Linked DNA regions of Astyanax mexicanus. The protein of the gene in region 1 purifies or fractionates together with the protein of each later gene. This does not show direct contact. Links are inferred from orthologs where the notes say so. Each region holds a gene or a part of one and is shown on either strand. Other genes may lie near its edges.

What was found. Proteins that work in one complex are often made in the same cells at the same time.
Region 2: the proteins of asxl1 (region 1) and ogt.1 purify together in Homo sapiens (affinity purification with mass spectrometry; 3 studies listed by BioGRID and IntAct, with this or other methods). This does not show direct contact. The link is inferred for Astyanax mexicanus from reciprocal best matches to the Homo sapiens genes ASXL1 and OGT.

What each region holds. Positions count from the first base shown.
Region 1 is NC_064420.1:39,533,750-39,543,635, forward strand, and holds the start of asxl1 (putative Polycomb group protein ASXL1), read right to left. Parts: upstream 5,093-9,886; 5' UTR 4,472-5,092; coding exon 4,415-4,471; intron 1-4,414. Other genes in the region: dnajc11a (dnaJ homolog subfamily C member 11a), read right to left, coding at 8,967-8,992, 9,102-9,231.
Region 2 is NC_064417.1:382,690-392,667, forward strand, and holds the start of ogt.1 (UDP-N-acetylglucosamine--peptide N-acetylglucosaminyltransferase 110 kDa subunit), read left to right. Parts: upstream 1-5,482; 5' UTR 5,483-5,919; coding exon 5,920-5,956; intron 5,957-8,398; coding exon 8,399-8,579; intron 8,580-9,580; coding exon 9,581-9,824; intron 9,825-9,978. UniProt on the Homo sapiens protein: Catalyzes the transfer of a single N-acetylglucosamine from UDP-GlcNAc to a serine or threonine residue in cytoplasmic and nuclear proteins resulting in their modification with a beta-linked N-acetylglucosamine (O-GlcNAc).

The DNA.
Region 1 (9,886 bases):
CTTTAGGCCATCTTTAGCTTTCGTGAGCAGAGTAATAGGCCTAACAGGATTTCCTTCGTATGCATATACACTATATGTATGACCCATGAACAGTCAAATCAAATTTAAGCTTAATACTGTTCAACCAGAGAAGGTCTGACTCACTGATTGAACAACATAAAAGATACAACCTCAATCCTCTTTGCTGAACTGAATGCAATATTACTTATCGTGTTTACTTATTAAGTACAGCTTATTACTGTGCTGGTATGTTGGCAAAGAGCAATTGCTATGTTAAAACACAGAGTGGAATAAAATGGTTTTTAAATGCCAAGAACATGATTTAATTCAATTATGTCTGGGATAATATATTTTCCAAAATAAAATTAATTATTATTTGCATCTGTTCTAACATGATACAGTTTTCAGTCAGAATCTCTCTCTTATTGATGTGATAAAATGTTTTAAATAATGTGCTTTCACATAGTTTCAAACTATGCTCACAAGATCTCAACTACTTTCTTTAAAAAAATCAGAAATTCTTATTTTAGTCACTGCATGCATGTTTATATTCATCTGTTTTAATGTGTTTAGAATGAAAGGATGGGATGAAGAAGGTAAAATGGGCCTCTTTTATTCTGTAATAGCAATGCAAGTTGCTGTAAATATGCATTTCTCAGAGCTTTTGAAGAGCAGTCTTGTAGCGGCTCTGACCTAAAAGTGAGCAATACAGAAATATTTTTTTGCATTCTGTGACCAATTTTGTCATTGTGATATAAAACATGCTTATCTGAGCATGCTGATCAGATACAGAGAAACATTTCAATACAGGTAGTATAATAAAAGTCATGTTTAATTTGAGTATTTGTAGCACATCCTAAATATAAATCAAATCAATGTACAAAAAAATAAATAGAGTATTTTAACAGTTAAGAGTTTGCTGCCACTGATGTTTTTGTATGCAAGACAAAACAAATATTGCAATGTTTTGTTGTTCTGCAATATACATTACATATATTAAACAATACAGGGACATTAAGCAGAAGTCAACAACCCAACATGCCATGTTGTTAATATTACACCGTGTATCCAAAAATGGAGGAAAATAAGTTGTCACAGGAAACTAAAACAGTATAAATTGTCCTATAGTCCTAGCACCTTTGGTGTACATAATCACACTCTGATACAACTGGGTGATGTGTTTTTAAACACAATATTTCAAGACATTTTCACAATAATTTTGACACACTATTCAAATGCTTTTTCCATGCATGTAAGGGATATTGAATTGTATATTTGGAAGATGCGCAGCAAAAAAATATAAACAGGATTTTACACTCTCTGTAATAAAATGCACAGTTGAATCAGTGTTCTTTAGGTACTGCTGAGATAATTTCTTCAATATACTTATCGTCAATATAAGAACATTTATCACGATTTAATAAAATATAGATACATTGTGCAGCTCTAGGTGTATTGGATTAAAATTAATTGACATTGGACACCCTGAGATATACACAAAGCTATTGCACGTGGATACATTGCAATGATGCTGAAATCTCTAGGGTTTGTGACTAGGCCTGTCATGATAACTTCAATATCGATTTATCGTACAATAAATAAAAATGATCTGAACGTTTTTCATAATCGCGATATCGTTTATTGTGTTTATTTGCATGTTCGTTTACACATATACAACCGTGAACAGTATTTTAGACACTGACTCCATACACACAATGTGGAGTAAAGTAGGGGAGAAATAAGTATATAATTTCCAAACTAATTATAATAAATGATTAATTCACATTTTGTTGTATTTAAAAAGTGTACAATTGCTTTTTATGCTATTCTGTTATCATTATGTCAGTGGAATTGAATAGTCTTAAAATTAGAAAAATATCGTGCATCACAATTTCTGGAACAATATATTGTCCAAAAAAAAAAATCTCATCATGACGGATCTATTTGTGACAGTTGGGCAGTGTAACACAAAGCAATCCTGACTGTTCTCCTACATAGTTCCCCATTGGTGAAAGAGCAGGAGCGTCCCTTACTATCTTTGAAAAAAACACCTCTAACTACTACTTCTAACCTTATTTTCTCCCCTTTCTTTCCTGCTCTCTCCCAGTATTACCCTTTGGCCTCTATTAGGCCAAAGGGTAATACTGGGAGATGTTTTTGCCTTGAATTTCTATCTCCTCTAATGCTAATGAACATCATTATTTGAAAGTTGCTTTGGATAAAAACGTCTGCCAAATTTAATGTAATGTAATGTAACAGGGTTCACAGAATACAGAATTTCTTATGCCATATTACATTTTAGACATCACCTCTTCCAGACTCTCCCCTCTGGCAACAGGCTTTAGACCATCAAAAACCAGCACAGCACAACACGCTAACAGCTTCTTTACCAGAGCTGTAGCACTTCTCAACCACAGTGGACACCTGAGTCTCCGAACTTCACTGAACTGCACTGACTGGAGAAGAATGTCTGTACAGCTGTGCAAATAAGCGTAGTGCAAGTGAGCAAATTGTAAAATCCAAATGTTATCATCTGGAATTACAATTGTAAGAAATTATAAACATTTTCTTGTACGTTGCTCTACATAAAGCAAATTAAATTAAATTAAATTGCATTTAGCCTATAACGGTCAGAAAGTTCAATTAATAAACAACACACTGACCCGAAATAAAGCGATTCTGACATTATCTTATATTATCGCCTTTACTTCTTAAAGGACATGTGTTTCATTTAATTTTATTTATACACACACACACACACACCAAGCTTTATAGTATAAGAAGTAGTAAAATATATATTTTTTAAAACACAAGCAGGTGCCTGAAAGGCTGAAGATCATAAATGAGAGTGTGGGTAAGGAGAGCAGGGTATTGTGCTTTAGGCTTTTCAGTGAAAGTGCCACGACTGTATGGCTTGTAACTGACAGCACGCGTTTTACACATGCCTGGATTGAGCAATGTATTGCTTATTTTTTTCCCTTGCCTGAACACACACACACACACACAGGGTTAGGCTAGGGCTAGAAAACACACACACACACACACACACACACACACACTGCGCAGCTACAACAGCATGTGGAAACACACGGCCTGCAAACACAGGCTACGTTAGGCTATATTTCCACTAAACAGACTGTAATACGGTTAATGAAAGACTACTTACAGACAATTACCATTAACTGTGTAGCTATCTAACTAAATACGCTCTTTTAGCATATCTATGAAGCTAGCTAACGTCTGTTAGCTGTTTAGCTAGCTATATGATACAAGTCTCGCAAACAAAGGGTCAAACGCGTAGCGGGGCTAACACGACTAAGCTAAGCTACGCTACAAGTTGTGCTGTTTTTCATTCATTTGTAAGCCTTAAGAAAAGCTGGGATCTGTTTAGTTTAAATGGTCACATTTTCACCTTTTAAACACCAGTTTCTTATCATCCCGGAGCTGTGGATTATATAGAACTAGGCCGGGTTATATGTTTAACACGCTGCGGCGTGAGAGCACTCCCTCTGCGGGAACAGCCCGAGCGCCCGCAGTAACGTTCACCCAACATAGGTTATTAGTTAGCTTGAGCTAGCTAAAGCTCAAGCTAGCTTTGTCCGGTGTTGCGTCGAGCTGTGCTACCCGTCGAATTGTGCTGCTTAGCCGTTCTGCGCATGCGCGGCTGGGAATTTAAAATATTCGCGTGTGTTTTTCACGTTAGAGCCATTTGTTTTCTCGGGTGCATTTAACTTTTACAAAATTAGCTTATATATCATTATTAGCTGGTATCAGCTTACCGTTAAATTTGTAAAAAAAAAAAAAAAAACGTGAAAAAACATTTTTAATGTGATCTCAATCTAAACCCTGAGCTAGACAGACAGATATAATTAAATGTTTTAAAAATTAGTTTTTTAAGGGACTCTGCACAATATTATGCACACCACCAACCAACAATATACATATATTATATATTTAATTACATTTAAAAAAGTATCACAAAACAATGCATTTAAATGCATATAAATATAGCATATAATACATTCACTTATATTAAAAAGCCTTACAAAACAATTCTTTCAATGTATATAAACATAACATAATATATTCAATTGCTTAACATGACCTAGCAATTATAACGTTATTTGTGCTGGGATCATTTTAAAATTCAAATTGTATGACGCTTTATATTATACAATTATAGTTAGTTAGCTAACCTAGCTAGGTTATATGCTTTTTCTGTTTTAGGTTAGATTTTATTTAACCTAGCTAGCATAGCTATAAATACACACCATAGTAGCGCGTTGTGACAATGTAGCACAATTCGACGCAACACCAGTTCGTGGTTGAGCAGACATCGCTTTGAAAGATCACTTAAAATATCATTTAAACACAATATTGTTATATAATATGAGAGTGGATGTGTGTATATTACCATACGGGCGGCCTCTGCCCACGTACGCTCCTTCTTTCTCTTCTGTTTGTCCTTCATTTCCTCGGTCTTCTCTCGCCGATGCGTCTGATACTACTATTACTACTACGGCTGCTGCAGCAGCGCTGGCGGATATGAAACGTGTGAGCTAGCGCAGGCAGCAGCACGGGCGGGCGGGCAGGCTAGCTAACTTACTAGCGGAGTGACCCTGACCGAGCCTTTTCTGCAGCAGCCGAACCACCACAGCTCAGCCCTGTAGCGCAGATGGAACCGTACCCCCGCCCGCTCAGCTCGCAAAAACGACGGCCACAAATACTCGGCTCCTGCGAAAACACAAAAGCTCCCCCAGTCGTTCCGCCGCCGCCTTCTTCTTCTTCTTTTTCTTCTCTTCCAGCAGCGCCAGGCTTTTGTAGCTGCCTCCGTTTCCCCCGCAGCTAACCAGTAAACACGCAACGCAGGGCGCACAGCGACCAAGCCCCAGCACCACGCACCGCCGCCAGCACACGAGCACCGGGCATTCCGCTATAAAAATACAAATACTATACAGAGCTATACCCGCACAAACCCGCCCGCAGAACACCGCGCGCGCACACACAGACACAACAGCGAGGTCAAAGGTCAAGCCCACACTGCAGGAATGCAACACAAAACAACACTCTCCCCATCCCCCTCTTTACACTCTCTCTCTCTCTCTCTCTCTCTCTCTCTCTCTCTATCTCTATCTCTCTCTCTCTCTCTCTCTCTCTCTCTCTCTCTCACACTCAGCCGAGCCTAGCTGACGTCTCACACAACAGCAGTGGGACCCCGCCCATTATTATGCATACCACCGACCAACCAACAAACTTCACGAGTCTTACAAAACAATTCATTTAAATATATAGGCATACAATATATAATATAATTATATTAAAAGTCATACAAAACCATTGATTAAAATGAATATACATATGATATATAGTATAAAAATATAATATATTACATTTTATTAAAAAAATAATTGCTAGCAAATAAATAAGATGCTTTATTAATCCATGGGAGGAAATAAGAAGAGGTTCTAGCAGCTTAAAGATAGCAGTAAATGTTACATTTTTTTGGGTTTAAAATTAAAAAGTTAGGTATTAAGGGACCCTGCACATTATTATACATACCACCAACCAACAAAGTTCACAAGCTGTGTTACAATCAATTGGTTTAAATGTATATGCATATAATATAAAATACATTCAATTATATTAAAAATGTAATTGATGAAAAATAAATAAGATGCTTTATTAGATAGATAGATAGATAGATAGATAGATAAAAATAAAGAATATATATATATATATATATATATATATATATATATATATATATATATATATATATATATATATAGTAATATAATATTGTCAAATGATTGGAAATGAATAATTAAATAAATGTTTTAAAAGCTAGGGACCTTGCACATTATTATGCATACCACCAACCAACAAAGTTCACTAGATATAATACAATGAAATATGTAAAATATAAAAACAACATGAATTGAAGCAGCCCCATTCTCTTTTTTTGGTTATATCTTTATATTACAATGCACTGGAATCTTTTTGTTCAGTGGATTGTGTTTAAATGTATGAATGCATTAGCCAAATGTGCAATTTATTATGTATGTATTATGTTACAATTTGCTTTAAAGGTTTTTCATTTATTTAATCAGTGATCACAATTATATATTTGCTGCTCCAAAGAGATTGCAGTGCAAAATATATATTTATTTCAAATGAAAATGCTGTTTGTAATTTGTAATAAGGTAATGTTAATACATTTTACAATTTTGGTTTAGACAGATGTTTTACCAAAGACAGATATGGGCAATAACTCATTAAGTGGAAATACATGCAAAATTATATTTATATGGGATGTGTTGACTGCAATATGCATAGTGACAATAGCTTCGCCAAGGGGAATTAAAACAACCAATGTTTATGGCTAGTTAAATGAATTGAATGAAAATAAAATGAAATACTACTATTTGCTTTTATTTAGAGGTTAATTGGCTCTAGCAAGTTTTAATAAATTATACTTAAAGTTTACTCTGAATAATATTACCACCATTAAGGTTACATGAAGCAAAGGCATAAGATTACATCATGGGGGAAGTAGTCATGTCCAATCTACTGGTCTAATTAGCTGGTTAACTTGTATAATACGTTTATAGAGGTTGAACAGCAGGGCTTGATTAACAGAATTGTAAGCTAATTTTAATCAATTAGCCATTTTCATCTTTAAACCAAGGAAGCACACAGTTGTTCTCTTCAGTTTACTCATGTTTTTAGTGGTAAGTGGTTCATCAGTGAACAACTCCAATTTGTTTTACCCAGCAAACACATTCATGTGGACCTCACATGGGTAAAATATGGCCATTTGAATATGTTGTGTATGTTTTTACTGGGGCCCAGTTGGGCTTCCTAAATGTACCCCATCATTACAGCCCACTTTAGTCTCACAAGTCCTATTTAGGCCACATGTGAAGTGTACAGCCCCTCCAGATCCCATAAATGACATTCATATGTGGGCCTAACATGGAACCTGCGGACAAATCCTTCTGGGCCACATGTTGGCATGTTAAATATTCAACATGTAAAGGGATGTACCTAATAACCATTATTAGTTTTCACTTTGGTTGTAATTTCCCCAGACATTCCCTTGTATTTAAAAAAGTGCAAAGTACAGAACTTGCTTAATGTGCCAAACTACTAGACTTTTGCAAAAACTGATAATTATAGTGAAAACTAGATATTACCAAAAATCATGCAATCGACTTTCTTTGATAAACAGAAGTACACAATTCAAAAAACATTTTTATTTAGTTTGAAGATTTATTTTTTCTCCACCTCCCACCTGACAAATATACAGAGTACATGTACTTTACAAATGATAGTCACTCTGAAAGGGGACCCTTTCTGGAAACAGAGATGCTGTATAACCAGTCCTTTCAATTAAACAGTTCATCCTTCACCAACCACCACCTTCAGAATTCCCTAAAATTACAAAAGGCATTATAATTCAGTTGTAGAATGGAGATGATGGCAGGAACCAGTTAAAATAATTTGTGTGGTATGGCACAACAATATTTTATAAACAGGACATTTGTGGAGGTCAAGGAGTTACAGAGTCTCAGCAGTGAGATAGAAGAGGAGCTGAGAAGCTAAAATAAATGCTGAACATTATTATTTATTAGTTCTAGCATTCTTTAAGGACAGTGTGTAAGATTTGGTTAGACTCCCAACACAATAATAGGAAAGTTGTAAATATGAACATGTATTAATATTATGGATCACTACTTTATTTGCACAGAAAATTAATTTGTAACAGGTTCCTAAGGCAGTATTAGAAAAGAAGTCATGTGCTTTTAATTGAGAATGGGATCTTAAGAAATGGAATGGTGAATGTTTTTTTTTTTTTTAGAGTCAACCAAACAAAAATGATTGAGGGTTTTGTTGTATATTGTAGATTTTTAGGCTGTTACCTCAATATAAGGTAATTCAGCACCATACAATAAGAAGCTTGTATATGGCACTATCCCACTGCTAGGTACATAAATACACTACTATTTTCAACTCAGTGTTACTCTACTGCATTTTGTCTTGCTTTTTCTTTAGGCAACTTTGGCACCAGGTATCTAAATTTGGGTATTTATTACTTGCTCGCTCGTGGTTCGAAGCAATTCGATTAGTGACTAAAATGTAATGTGTTAACCTTGCATTTCACACTATGTCCAGAAAGAATCGTCACTCTGCAGAGTGCTAAAGGCCACAAACCGAGAACCTGGAACCCAACCCCTTCACCAGCCTCTGTTGTTACTGTGTTGTCGTTCTGAGCTGCATCAGCTACATTTCGACAAGGGGTGGAGTTGAGGCAGTGGAAAAAATGAACCGGGTACCAGGTTTTAAGAAGCAAGTAGAGTCAAGCAGAGTTGAGTAGTGTATGATGGTACCATGTTGTGGAAAAGCGCCAATAATGTATGCTGGTGTTCACATATGAAAGATGAAAAATATGATAAACAAATGTGGCGATACTTAGTGTGATTCTATGATTTGGTTCAGCAGCAGCATGTTCACCCTCTGATGTCTGTATAGTGAAATAGCTCTCTCACACGAGGGCTGAATACAGGCACTGTTGTGTCCTGGAAACACTCCAGTACAGTTCATTCATATGCAAGTACAGTGAGCATTTTTTTCAGGGGGAGGAGAGAATTTAAATACTAAAAAAACAAGGCCAGAATTACATGGAAGGTAAGAAATCCTTTAGAAATTCTTTCAGGTTTCTGACACAAGTCAAGTCACCGTGTTTCAAGTAACTTGAAGTTAACAAATTCATGCGCTCTTCCAGTGGACTCAGTTTTTAAACATGCCCTTTTGTATAACAATTAAAATTGCACAAAGGTATATCTATATATATGCATATGAATGACTTTTAGGCCACAGGGAATATCCAAGTCCCTAGAAAACAAAATCCGCTTGTCCTCAACGCCAGTCCAAGCTGTCCCTTTCAGCACTGAAGAAAACGGTTCCTAAGTGTCATTATCTATCCTGTGAGCTGGAATGCAGAAGAAAAAGAAAAGAAAAACATCAGCTATGTATCTTTAGATTAGTATTGTGATTCAAACCACAAACAACAAACAGAAAAAGACTAGCAGTAGACATACATTGTTTTGGTATCCTGAGTGCTTCTGTGTCACCAGATAGGACCTGATGCATGACGCCTCTGAACTGATACAGCACCTTTAGGCTCTTCTCCTCACCCACACATGGGTCGTAGAAGCCTGGTAAGCCAGCCTGAGATTATGTGGAAAACAGAAGCAGAATTTTAATATTTGGGTTTGATATTTTCTACTCAAAAAATGTTATACATGAATACAAGCAATATAATTAGAGCTGGGGGTGGAACAATACACAGAAATCATGGTTCTGTTCTTATAGCATACTGGACATTACAGTTCGGTACAACAGTAACACAAATGACGAAAATGCCAAAGCTAAACCAGCTGGAGCTAAGCTTAACATGACATGTTGCTAAACTTCCACATTAAACACAGTGCTCCTGTCAACTTGTCAACATGTGTAATATGTACCTTTGTTTTTTCCCTTTGTTTTGAGGAATATTAATAGGAAAAAAGATTTTTATTTTATTTAGTCTACTAAAATATTTTATGTATTATTATGTCGATTGTTACAGTAAAGCTCTGTGTTCATAAATGGATAAAATTTATGAACAGAATTTCATCCATATTTGAATTCATTATCAGACATGGCCACCTCTCTCCTACTAGCAGACTGAGACTCATTTGATGTGCATAACACTAAAGTTGACCTGTATATATCAGTGTCTGCACTGTAGTATTTTTTTTGTCACTGCTTCTTCAGAATTTTATGAACTGTTTATAATTGCAATTACAAAGCTTGACAGGAGTTTTGTTTTATGTAAAACGAT
Region 2 (9,978 bases), on another chromosome or scaffold:
TAGTACTGTGATAGTACTGTGATAGTACTGTGATATTACTGTGATAGTACTGTGATAGCACTGTGATAGTACTGTGATAGTACTGTGATAATACTGTGATAGCACTGTGATATTACTGTGAAAGTACTGTGATAGCACTGTGATAGGACTATGATAGCACTGTGATGGTACTGTGATAGCACTGCCTGTGACTCTCAGATCTTCTACATCCACAGAAAAGCTGAAACTGACGTAATAATGAGCAGAATTTTGGCTCCATAACAGAACCATTAGACTGTTAGGAAAACACATGTGATTAGTTAAGATACACATATTTGTGAGTCAGACGAGCCCACCCTGGGAATCTGGAGGCCTTGAAGTTTGGATGTTTGAGTAATAGCTTACGGCAAGGCCGCATTACAAACTATGAGCCACGGATCTACAGGAAACTCAGCGCAGGTTCCCGTCCAAAGCAATAAAAAACCTCAGACTTCAAACAAAAGCTCTCCTACATTTTAAAAGGTGCATTTTTCCACATTCTTGCGTTGTCTGGGCAAACAACATCTAACCGCAGAATTCACGGCTATAAAAGCAGTGCATCACTCCCCTCAGCCGCACGCTGCATTAAGTAGAGGCCGCAGGTGTGAATCAAACACCCGACACCTGATATTTAACCGTTCCCAGCTGAAACTCACTACAGTTTCTCTCTCTCTCTCTTTCTCTCTCTCTTTCTCCTCCATCGTTAACTGTTTTCATCAGCACAGCATTATGAATGTACACATTATGGGAGAGGTCAGGTCAGGATGTGGGATTCGTCTGGCTGTAGCTGAATTATATGGCTGTGTGGTGCTGGATGATAACGGCCAACTGAGGATGACTCAGGATCTGATTGCTTGTCATGTAAACAAGACAGAAATAAGCAGCAAGCAAGAACACATTTTTTCAAGTTTTTTTTAGTAAAACACAAATAACATATATAATTTTCGTTGCATTAAGGACTTTAAATATATTTTTTTTCTACAAATGCCTAATATGATATGAGCAACTTTGTTACTGAAGTCAAATTCCTTTGTTTTCAGAACTGGCCAATAAAGCCTGGTTCTGATATATTTATTGGCGCACAGACGGAGGAGGAAATGGTATCACACTTTCTTTACCTCCTGCATCAGCGTGAGAGAGTGAAAGTGATGTGCGCAAATAAAGCGAGAGCAAGCAGACCCTCCGTTCTGGGTGATTCATGGACACTTATAAGAGTCAGGAGTGTGAGAACTGCTCAATCTCAATAGCGCGCATTTACACTGTGCACACAGCCGTCACCATGACTGTGCAAACATCCCCCTCCGAACCCACAACATATATACACCACTCCAGCTGGAGCGAACGGGCGCGAGGCGACGAAATGTGTCCAGCGCTGAAATAAACAGGGTCTGAACTGCTTGAATCTTTGCACCAGGAGTAAAGCAGCATAAAGTTATCCAAAAGCAGTGTGTAAGACTGGTGGAGGAGAACATGATGCCAAGATGCATGAAAAAAATTGTGATTAAAAACCACCAGGGTTATTCCACCAAATACTGATTTCTGAACTCTTAAATGTTCTTTGTGAATATGAATTGTATGTGTCCAGTGCAGAAATAAACATGGTGATTGTTTGGTAGCTGCTGTGAGCTGATCCGACCTGAAATATGTGGGTCACTCCTTCAGACCTCAGACCACAGATTAGACAATTAAAACAGAAGGAAATGTGACGAAATTAGTGAACAATCTGCTCCATTAATTTCTTAGCAGCGTGCCCAAAAGCTTGGCCATCTCTGCACAGGCCGCCGCCTACATTTAGAAACGAGACTCTCGGCCCTCGGCCCTCAGCGGTTCACGTGCCGCCCAAAATAACCGTGTGAAAGAGCCTCGGCGGTGAAAACAGACGCTGGCACCGTCTCAACAAAGCAGAGGTGTACGCCCGAGCCCGGTCAGAAGCGGCCCTGCACAAAGATAAAGCATGTCAGATGCGATCGCCAAAGACACGGCGCATGACATCACTCCCCCAGAGCCGGCTCTTTCCCAAGCCAACGTCCGAGTGGCGCAGTGGGCAGGAGGGGGTATCCAGGCCGAGCTCCCACACTGAAGCAACATGAACCGGGCACACACTGTCGCACCATCCGGGCCGATGATGTCAACCCTTTCCCATACAGAGCTGACAAGAGGCAAACAGAGCTGCACTCGGGCTCTAGGAGAAAAGAGGGAGAAAACGGGAAGTTAATGAGACTCTCACATCACAGACCCCAGCCTTCAGGGGCTCTTTTGACGTGTCAATCAGCCCAAGAGGCTGGGGCAAGACACGGGGGTGAACTGGTTCGTGGCATGTTTGCTTTCCTTGTATCTGTGCCTATATGTGTGTGTGTATTGTGTGACTGTGTGTGTGTGTGTGTAAAGAGTGTGTGTGTGTGTGTGTGTGTGTGTGTGTGTGTGAAGCTGTGTGAATTGCGATGGGATGGGGAGGGAGAACACAACATTGGTCCCCACTCTCGTTTCCTTCATCTGTGACCATCAGTGTCATCATTCATTAGTGAGCACACTGGTGAATCTCATTTTCACAATTCTTCTGACAACATTTAGGAAATGTAAGTAAGCTGTTGGATGGAGAGAGTGTTTAGTCTGATGGTCATTTTACACTTTATTGATGATTTATACCGAAGAGGCCAGTAAAAGAAAATACATAAGGATGTGAATGTGGGGTCCCTGCATTGAATGTTCAATTACAATTCTAGCCAGACACCACCGGTTATGAGTGCATTTCAAAATGGTCAGTTTATCTGATTTTGCTGTTAATAGGTTTATATTTGAGTAAAATGAACATTGCTCTTTTATTCTACAAACTACAGACAACATTTCTCCCAAATTGCAAATAAAAATATTCTCATTTACAGGCAATTATAATGCAAAAAAAAAAAAAAATTACATCTTGGCATCATGTTCTCCTCCACCAGTCTTACAAACTGCTTTTGGATAATGTTATGCCTTTACTTCTGGTGCAACAATTCAAGCAGTTCAGCTTGATTTGATTTCTTATTATCATAAGAACCAATAATCATTTCATTGGCTGTACAAAATCACTGTTTAATCTACATGTTTTTTTTACAGGTTTTATTATTAGTAAATGATGGTAAATCTAGAACTTTCTATCATTATAAACTCTGAATAAACAATGAAAATGATTATGATAAACAAGTAAGACAGACAGAGACTATGTTTTACAACAATTTAACTGTGTTAAACACTTATAAACTTCTATTATTATTATTATAACAGAGTAGATACCTCATGCACTGCATATTTTTTCATTATCCCTATTTTGTCATAGCTAATACCCTTCAGAGCTAAGTTTCAAATCCTAAATAAGATGGGTTAGATGTGTAATAGAAGTAAAAACACAAGAATATGCAGAGAATACAGGTTTTTGAGCTGTAATTGAGAACTACATGTTTTTTTGTGTGCAGAAATAAAAACAGATCTGGTTCCTTTTCCTCTTTTGCCCTCTGCAGGCCTGCGGCAGTAAGACTCCAGTGTAATGTTTAGTGCTCCAACAGTGTGTGTTCTAATCAGGCTTCAGATACACACACAATTCAGCAGCTATTAATATTCACAGCTCCAGAACTAGACTATTTCAGAAAATCTTTATTTTTATGTAAGATAGTGAATCTTTAATTTTGTTCGTTTTTATTATGAAAAGATGAATCCCCATGGTCTTACCTACAGCATTATTATTGGTGAAAATTATTAAAACTAGCAAATTAGTTTGATGGTATTTCTGTTTAAAATGTTTGCAAGCAGTATATGTGGGTATTCAATTTATTATTTGTATTTCTGAAAATAATATAATCTGTATTGTATTCTGATATATGTTTTTACACACCACTCATGTCATTTTTGTTGTGTTAATTACTTGTGAATTAGTAGTACAAAAAAAAGTACAAAACTGATGTAAACACTGATTCCTTTAATTGTATTATCCATGTGAGTTATTTCGTCTGCCTTACTCTAACTTTAGACTGATGGCAAATCAGCAGAAAAACACTGTGAATAAAATAAATTTGCTTTTACAAAATACAGCTTAAATTTTCAAGCATGAAATGTCAGCATTTAAGATACATCCGCTATTAAACACCAACATAAACTACTAGACTGGATTTTAAATAATATGGAAAACCTTATAGTGGAATTGTATTATTGTAGCAGAAAAATGGCTTTATTTATATGACATAATTATTTTATAAAACATTGCTGTGAAATTACGATGTAAACACGGTAATTTCGATATATTATGAATTCTTAGTTAATTACTAGTATTGGGTCAGAGATCAATTAAGCTTTATTGGGGTTTTGATTTGCTGAATTATTTTCATAATAAAAGCCAGACTTTTATTTTGAAAGGTTTCTTTAAACGTAAACACACCTATCTGTACCTTTATGACTTTGTACAACAGTCTGAATAAAACAATGAGCTTATATGTTTTAGGTGACGTAATCATGTAGACTTGGCATTTTACTGATAAACCATTTACTAAACACACATTAGAAATGTTAAATATTACATAACACCCACTGATCCATTGATCTTTTGGTCATCTGCCAGAGGTCATTAACACTGGAGTTTTTAAAAACTGTGATTAAAAACCAGGATTATTCCACCAAATATTGATTTCTGAACTCTTAAAACTTTATGAATATGAACTTGTTTTCTTTGCATTATTTGAGGTCTGAAAGCTCTGCATCTTTTTTGTTATTTATAAATGCTCTTAATGACAATATTTATATTTAGAATTTGGAAGAATTGTTTTCCATAGTTTATAGAATAAAACAACAATGTTAATTTACACATATATATTATATATATTTACTTATATATTACTTATATACACATAAATAGCCTGGTAATGTAATATTATTATAATACAGTGATAATACCATTTATCCTGCATTCTGATATTTATAGCTACCAGTAGCTCAACCAATGAGAGTGAATGGTTGAATCCAAACATGGTCCCTGTTTTTCACTGTACGTTAATTGCACACTTACATTTATTATAATATTAAAATATCTTTAGACTTATTATATTTCATATTTCACATTTTAGCAAGTTTTTGTAGTAAAACTCGGCTTTTATTATAATAAAAACACCCCGCCCACCCCCCCCCCCCCCCCCCCCTCTGTCTCTGCTAATGGAACAGTCCCGAATTGCCGCAGTGGTTGGCGCATTGATACACAGAAGAAAGCCGTGTATCTCTATCTTTTAGCGGGAGGCTAGTGTTCTTCCGCCGTAGTGAAGATAATACGTTTATAAAGAGCGAAACAACAACTCATACGCTGCATTTTTTGGGATGAATATAACAAATAAAAATTTACTTTAATGTCGCGAACAATATCTCTGATACTTATTCTGAACACACGTTAAATGAGTCAGAGAGGGAGAGGGAGGTCTAATTTTTTATATCAAAAAAGAAGTCCCGCCCATATTCCGCCATTTCGGTAGATGCTTTGTTAGCGGAGTCAGTGCGATGGTGGAAATACTCTTAATTGAGTATTTTTGACTCATTTTGACTAATTCGAACCGAAATATTTGTAGGTTTGCATTTTTGGTACAGTAGCGATAGGGAAGGAGTAACAGACGTTTTAAGCGGAGGGGTAAAGACAGCTAAATACAGTGAAATACGCGCGATTAGCTCGGTTAGCTTGTCTCGTTAGCTGGCGGTTTCTCCTCAGATTCGGGATCCTCTCAGACTCTTTATCAGCATTTTAACAGATTATTTAATCTGGATCCGCGGACTCGCACAGTCTGTGTGTGCGTGTTATTGATTAGCTAACGGCACTATTGTTTTTTTAATCGGTGGTTTCGTGTTTGTTTTGGCACCCTGACGACCCCTCGGCGAGACTCGAAGACGGGAGAGATGGCGAGCTCAGTGGGAAACGTGGCCGACAGCACAGGTAAACGTGACTGCATTCACTACAGGCCTGAGAGGACATTTAACACAGTTTAACAATATTTAACACAGTTACACACCCACAGCACTCAAATACTAATGTAAAACAGCATAATACATCTTTAGATATTTGTTTATCTAACTAATGTCCTCACTGCTTTGTTAAAATAAGATTGTAGGTACAAAACCATCTATAAATGCATTTATAGCGTTAATGTGCTTCACATTTATTCAGCTTAATGTCTGAGTTATGGAGTTTAAAACCTGATAACCAGAATATTTGTTTTTTTTTTTATAAACTTGAAATATTGTAACTGCCTAATTCATACATTGGTTATTTTTTTCTTGTAATTTGCCCAATCCTGCTCCTAAAATAATTTTCAAAACAATCTAAGAAAAAAAAAGAAACAGTTCCCAGTATTTTAGAACAATCAATTCTGAAATTTATAGATACATAAACTCAAATCTAAAATCTAATGCTGTATACTGGACCTTTCAGCACTCACATAGAGCCATATTTCTGAGTTTTAAGTCAAATAGATTTTAATTTAGTTTTGGCCAACAAATTAACCAGATAATAAGCTAATTTAGCTAGCTGATTATAATTAATTTGTTTTGCTAATTTGTTTTTTCTAATATTGTATTTGTTTATATGCCTGCTTAGTCAGTGGGTTGGGTGAAATGGGGTAAACAAAATTGTTGGGTTTGTCGTCCATTGTAGATGTAAGAAAATAATGCTTTTGTTTGGTATTGTAATATTGGCTTTTTAGTTTACTAGTTTACATGGAAAAATTGGTGTCAGAAGTGGTTCATTTTGTGTTGTTTAATCTCTGACCTCTAGAAAGCAGTGTTGTACTGCGTCATTAAATCACACTGTCTTAACAAATAACATAAATTACAACTACTGCAAATTTATTAGTAGGGAAAAATATCAGAAACCTGTAGATTTGCACACAAATAACATAACTCTCTCTTATCTCAGAGACGCATAGTTTGATTGTTGATTGTCGTGATTTGAAATGTGAGACTGTAATATTATACCTGTTATACAGTTTAAATTGTTAATAACCTGTTCTAACTCTTCATTATTTATTGTTTAAATCTGTTGCTACACCCTAATTCACAAGGTTTGTCGAATTACATTTTGCTTAAAAATCTTAGATCATTCAGTCAAATTATCATAATTCAGTTTCTGACAAGAACTAGAGATAAAAAAAGGCTTACAGATTTTAAAAGCAGCTAGCGAAAGATATTTGTCCATTTTAAAAAAGCAATTAAAATGACGCACCCCTTTAGTAAACTGTAACATCTTAGTCATGTATTTACCAAGTAGGCATTTGGAAAAATGTGGAAACTCTAACCGATTAAATCCAACCAAGCAGGAGCCTGTCTTACAGGGTGGGGTGCTGAAGTGCTAAAGAAAGATCTGATTATAAATAGAAAGTCTCAGGAGAGTTTGCTTTGTTTGTTGACTCACCTAATCCCTGAACCGATGTAGATAATGAAAAGAAAAAGAAAAGATAGAAAAAGCTGTAAATAGATAAGCCAGATTGTCATGTACTGTTTATGTTGATTTAAATATATATATGCATATATAGATATCATTAATTTTTCTCAGTTCTGATGGTGAAATAAAGGTGAACAAAAGGTTTGTTTGACTGTGCAGGAATTATTGGCAATTCATCTGAAAGTAAGCATATTTATTAACTTTCATAAACATTGAAAAGACTGTAAGACACTTTAGACATAAAAGCGTTAGACGTGAACACGTGCAGCTGCAATATTTAGCAGTGTTTAACTGTTTATCTCTTTGCATCTCTATTTGTTTTCACACATTTGTTTTTTTTCTTCATTGTTTGAATGCTTGCCCATTGACTGCTTGCACATCACATTTAATCAGTTTACTTAGTACTTAGTAAATGCATCATTTTATTTGGCGTCACCATTTTGTCTATTCATGTTCCTTCTCATACTTCTTTCTCAGCATCTGTGCTTTTCTTTTTTTTTTAATTATTTAAAGGATGAGTTCTGCATTTAAGCAAAGATATTGCCCAAAAATATTTATTTAGTGGTCACATCATGTGATTAATTGTATATAATGTATATAACACCAATTACATCAATAAAATTAGGCTGGACTCATCCTTTTAAATTCCCCTACATTTCCACTTTACTGTTTGTCTCTATGTGAATGAGGTTCTCTCTTTTTTTTTTTTTAGTGCCCTTTTTCACATTGATTGATCGGTTTATCAAAGTACAAGATAAACTTTTTTTCAGTGTTTGTTTTAAGGCCTAAAGCCTTTGTGTTTTTAGTCTGCATGTTAAAGATACATTTACTAAGTCATCATCTTTGTTCTTGTCATTGTTTGATTATTTTGCTTCATTTCCATTTATTCTAACGTGTTGTTTTCCCCCCTCCTCCTTCGGGTTGTGTTGGTGGCCACAGAACCAACAAAACATATGCTTTCCTTCCAAGGGTTGGCCGAGCTTGCACACCGCGAGTATCAGTCCGGCGATTTTGAAGCAGCAGAACGTCACTGTATGCAGCTGTGGAGACAGGAGCCCGACAATACTGGTGTCCTACTGCTGCTCTCTTCCATCCACTTCCAGTGCCGCCGGCTAGACAGGTGAGGTGGTTCAGAGAGGCTTTGTGCCGTTTTAATGACCTACCTGAAGCACAGAGGGCCTGGCTCATTCTTCTTGGTGGGGATGTGTGGACTAGGTCCAGGGAGATGGTTCTGGCTCTTCTTTTGGATTTTCTGGTCTTTCTCTGTCAGGGCTGTGTCATTTTGCTACGGGTGGTGGTTTAATACTGTCTTGTGTTTTTGAATCTTTATTTTATTCAGGTTAATATGTTCAAAATTAAATCTTAAAAGCTCTGGAAATAATAAAGAGATCACTTCAGTTTCTGAACCAGTTTCTCTGATTTCGCTATTTATAGGTTTATATTTGAGTAAAATGAACATTGTTGTTTTATTCTATAAACTACAGACAACATTTCTCCCAAATTCCAAATAAAAATATTCTCATTTAGAGCATTTATTTACAGAAAATGAGAAATGACTGAAATAACAAAAAAGATGCAGAGCTTTCAGACCTCAAATAATGCAAAGAAACAAGTTCATATTCATAAAGTTTTAAGAGTTCAGAAATAATCAATATTTGGTGGAATAACCCTGGTTTTTAATCACAGGTTTTAATCATGCATCTTGGCATCATGTTCTCCTCCACCAGTCTTACACACTGCTTTTGGATAACTTTATGCTGCTTTACTCCTGGTGTAAAGATTCAAGCAGTTCAGTTTGGTGGTTTGATGGTTTGTGATCATCCATCTTCCTCTTGATTATATTCCAGAGGTTTTGGTAAAATCGCAGAAACTCAATCATTTTAAACTGGTCTCTTATTTTTTTTCCAGAGCTGTTAACATATTGAGTTGATCAATCTATTAAACTTTCATTCACTTTGTGATATAAATAATATTAGGGCTGGGTATCAAAGCTCAGTAAAAAATGTTTTGTGTTATTGCTCATTGCTTGTATCATATTGGTATCAGAAATCTAAAAACGATACCCAGCCCTACTAGTTTTAGTACTTTTCTGAGTGTTTTTTACCCTGTTGTGGTGTGCAGGTCAGCGCACTTCAGCACTCTGGCCATCAAGCAGAACCCCATGCTTGCTGAGGCCTACTCAAACCTGGGCAACGTCTACAAGGAACGCGGTCAACTGCAGGAGGCTATCGAGCACTACCGCCACGCGCTCCGCCTCAAGCCTGACTTCATTGACGGATACATCAACCTGGCTGCTGCCCTGGTCGCTGCTGGGGACATGGAGGGAGCTGTACAGGCGTATGTGTCTGCTCTCCAGTACAATCCTGTGAGTTTTCAACATCTCCTATACACTCTCACACAGGGGTGGGGAAAATTTATCATTTTTAGATGCATCTCAATTTTTGGCATCTGTGAATCGACACAACCTCTCACTCTTTCTCCCTTTTTTTTTTTTCTTTCTTTCTCTCTCTTTCTCCCTC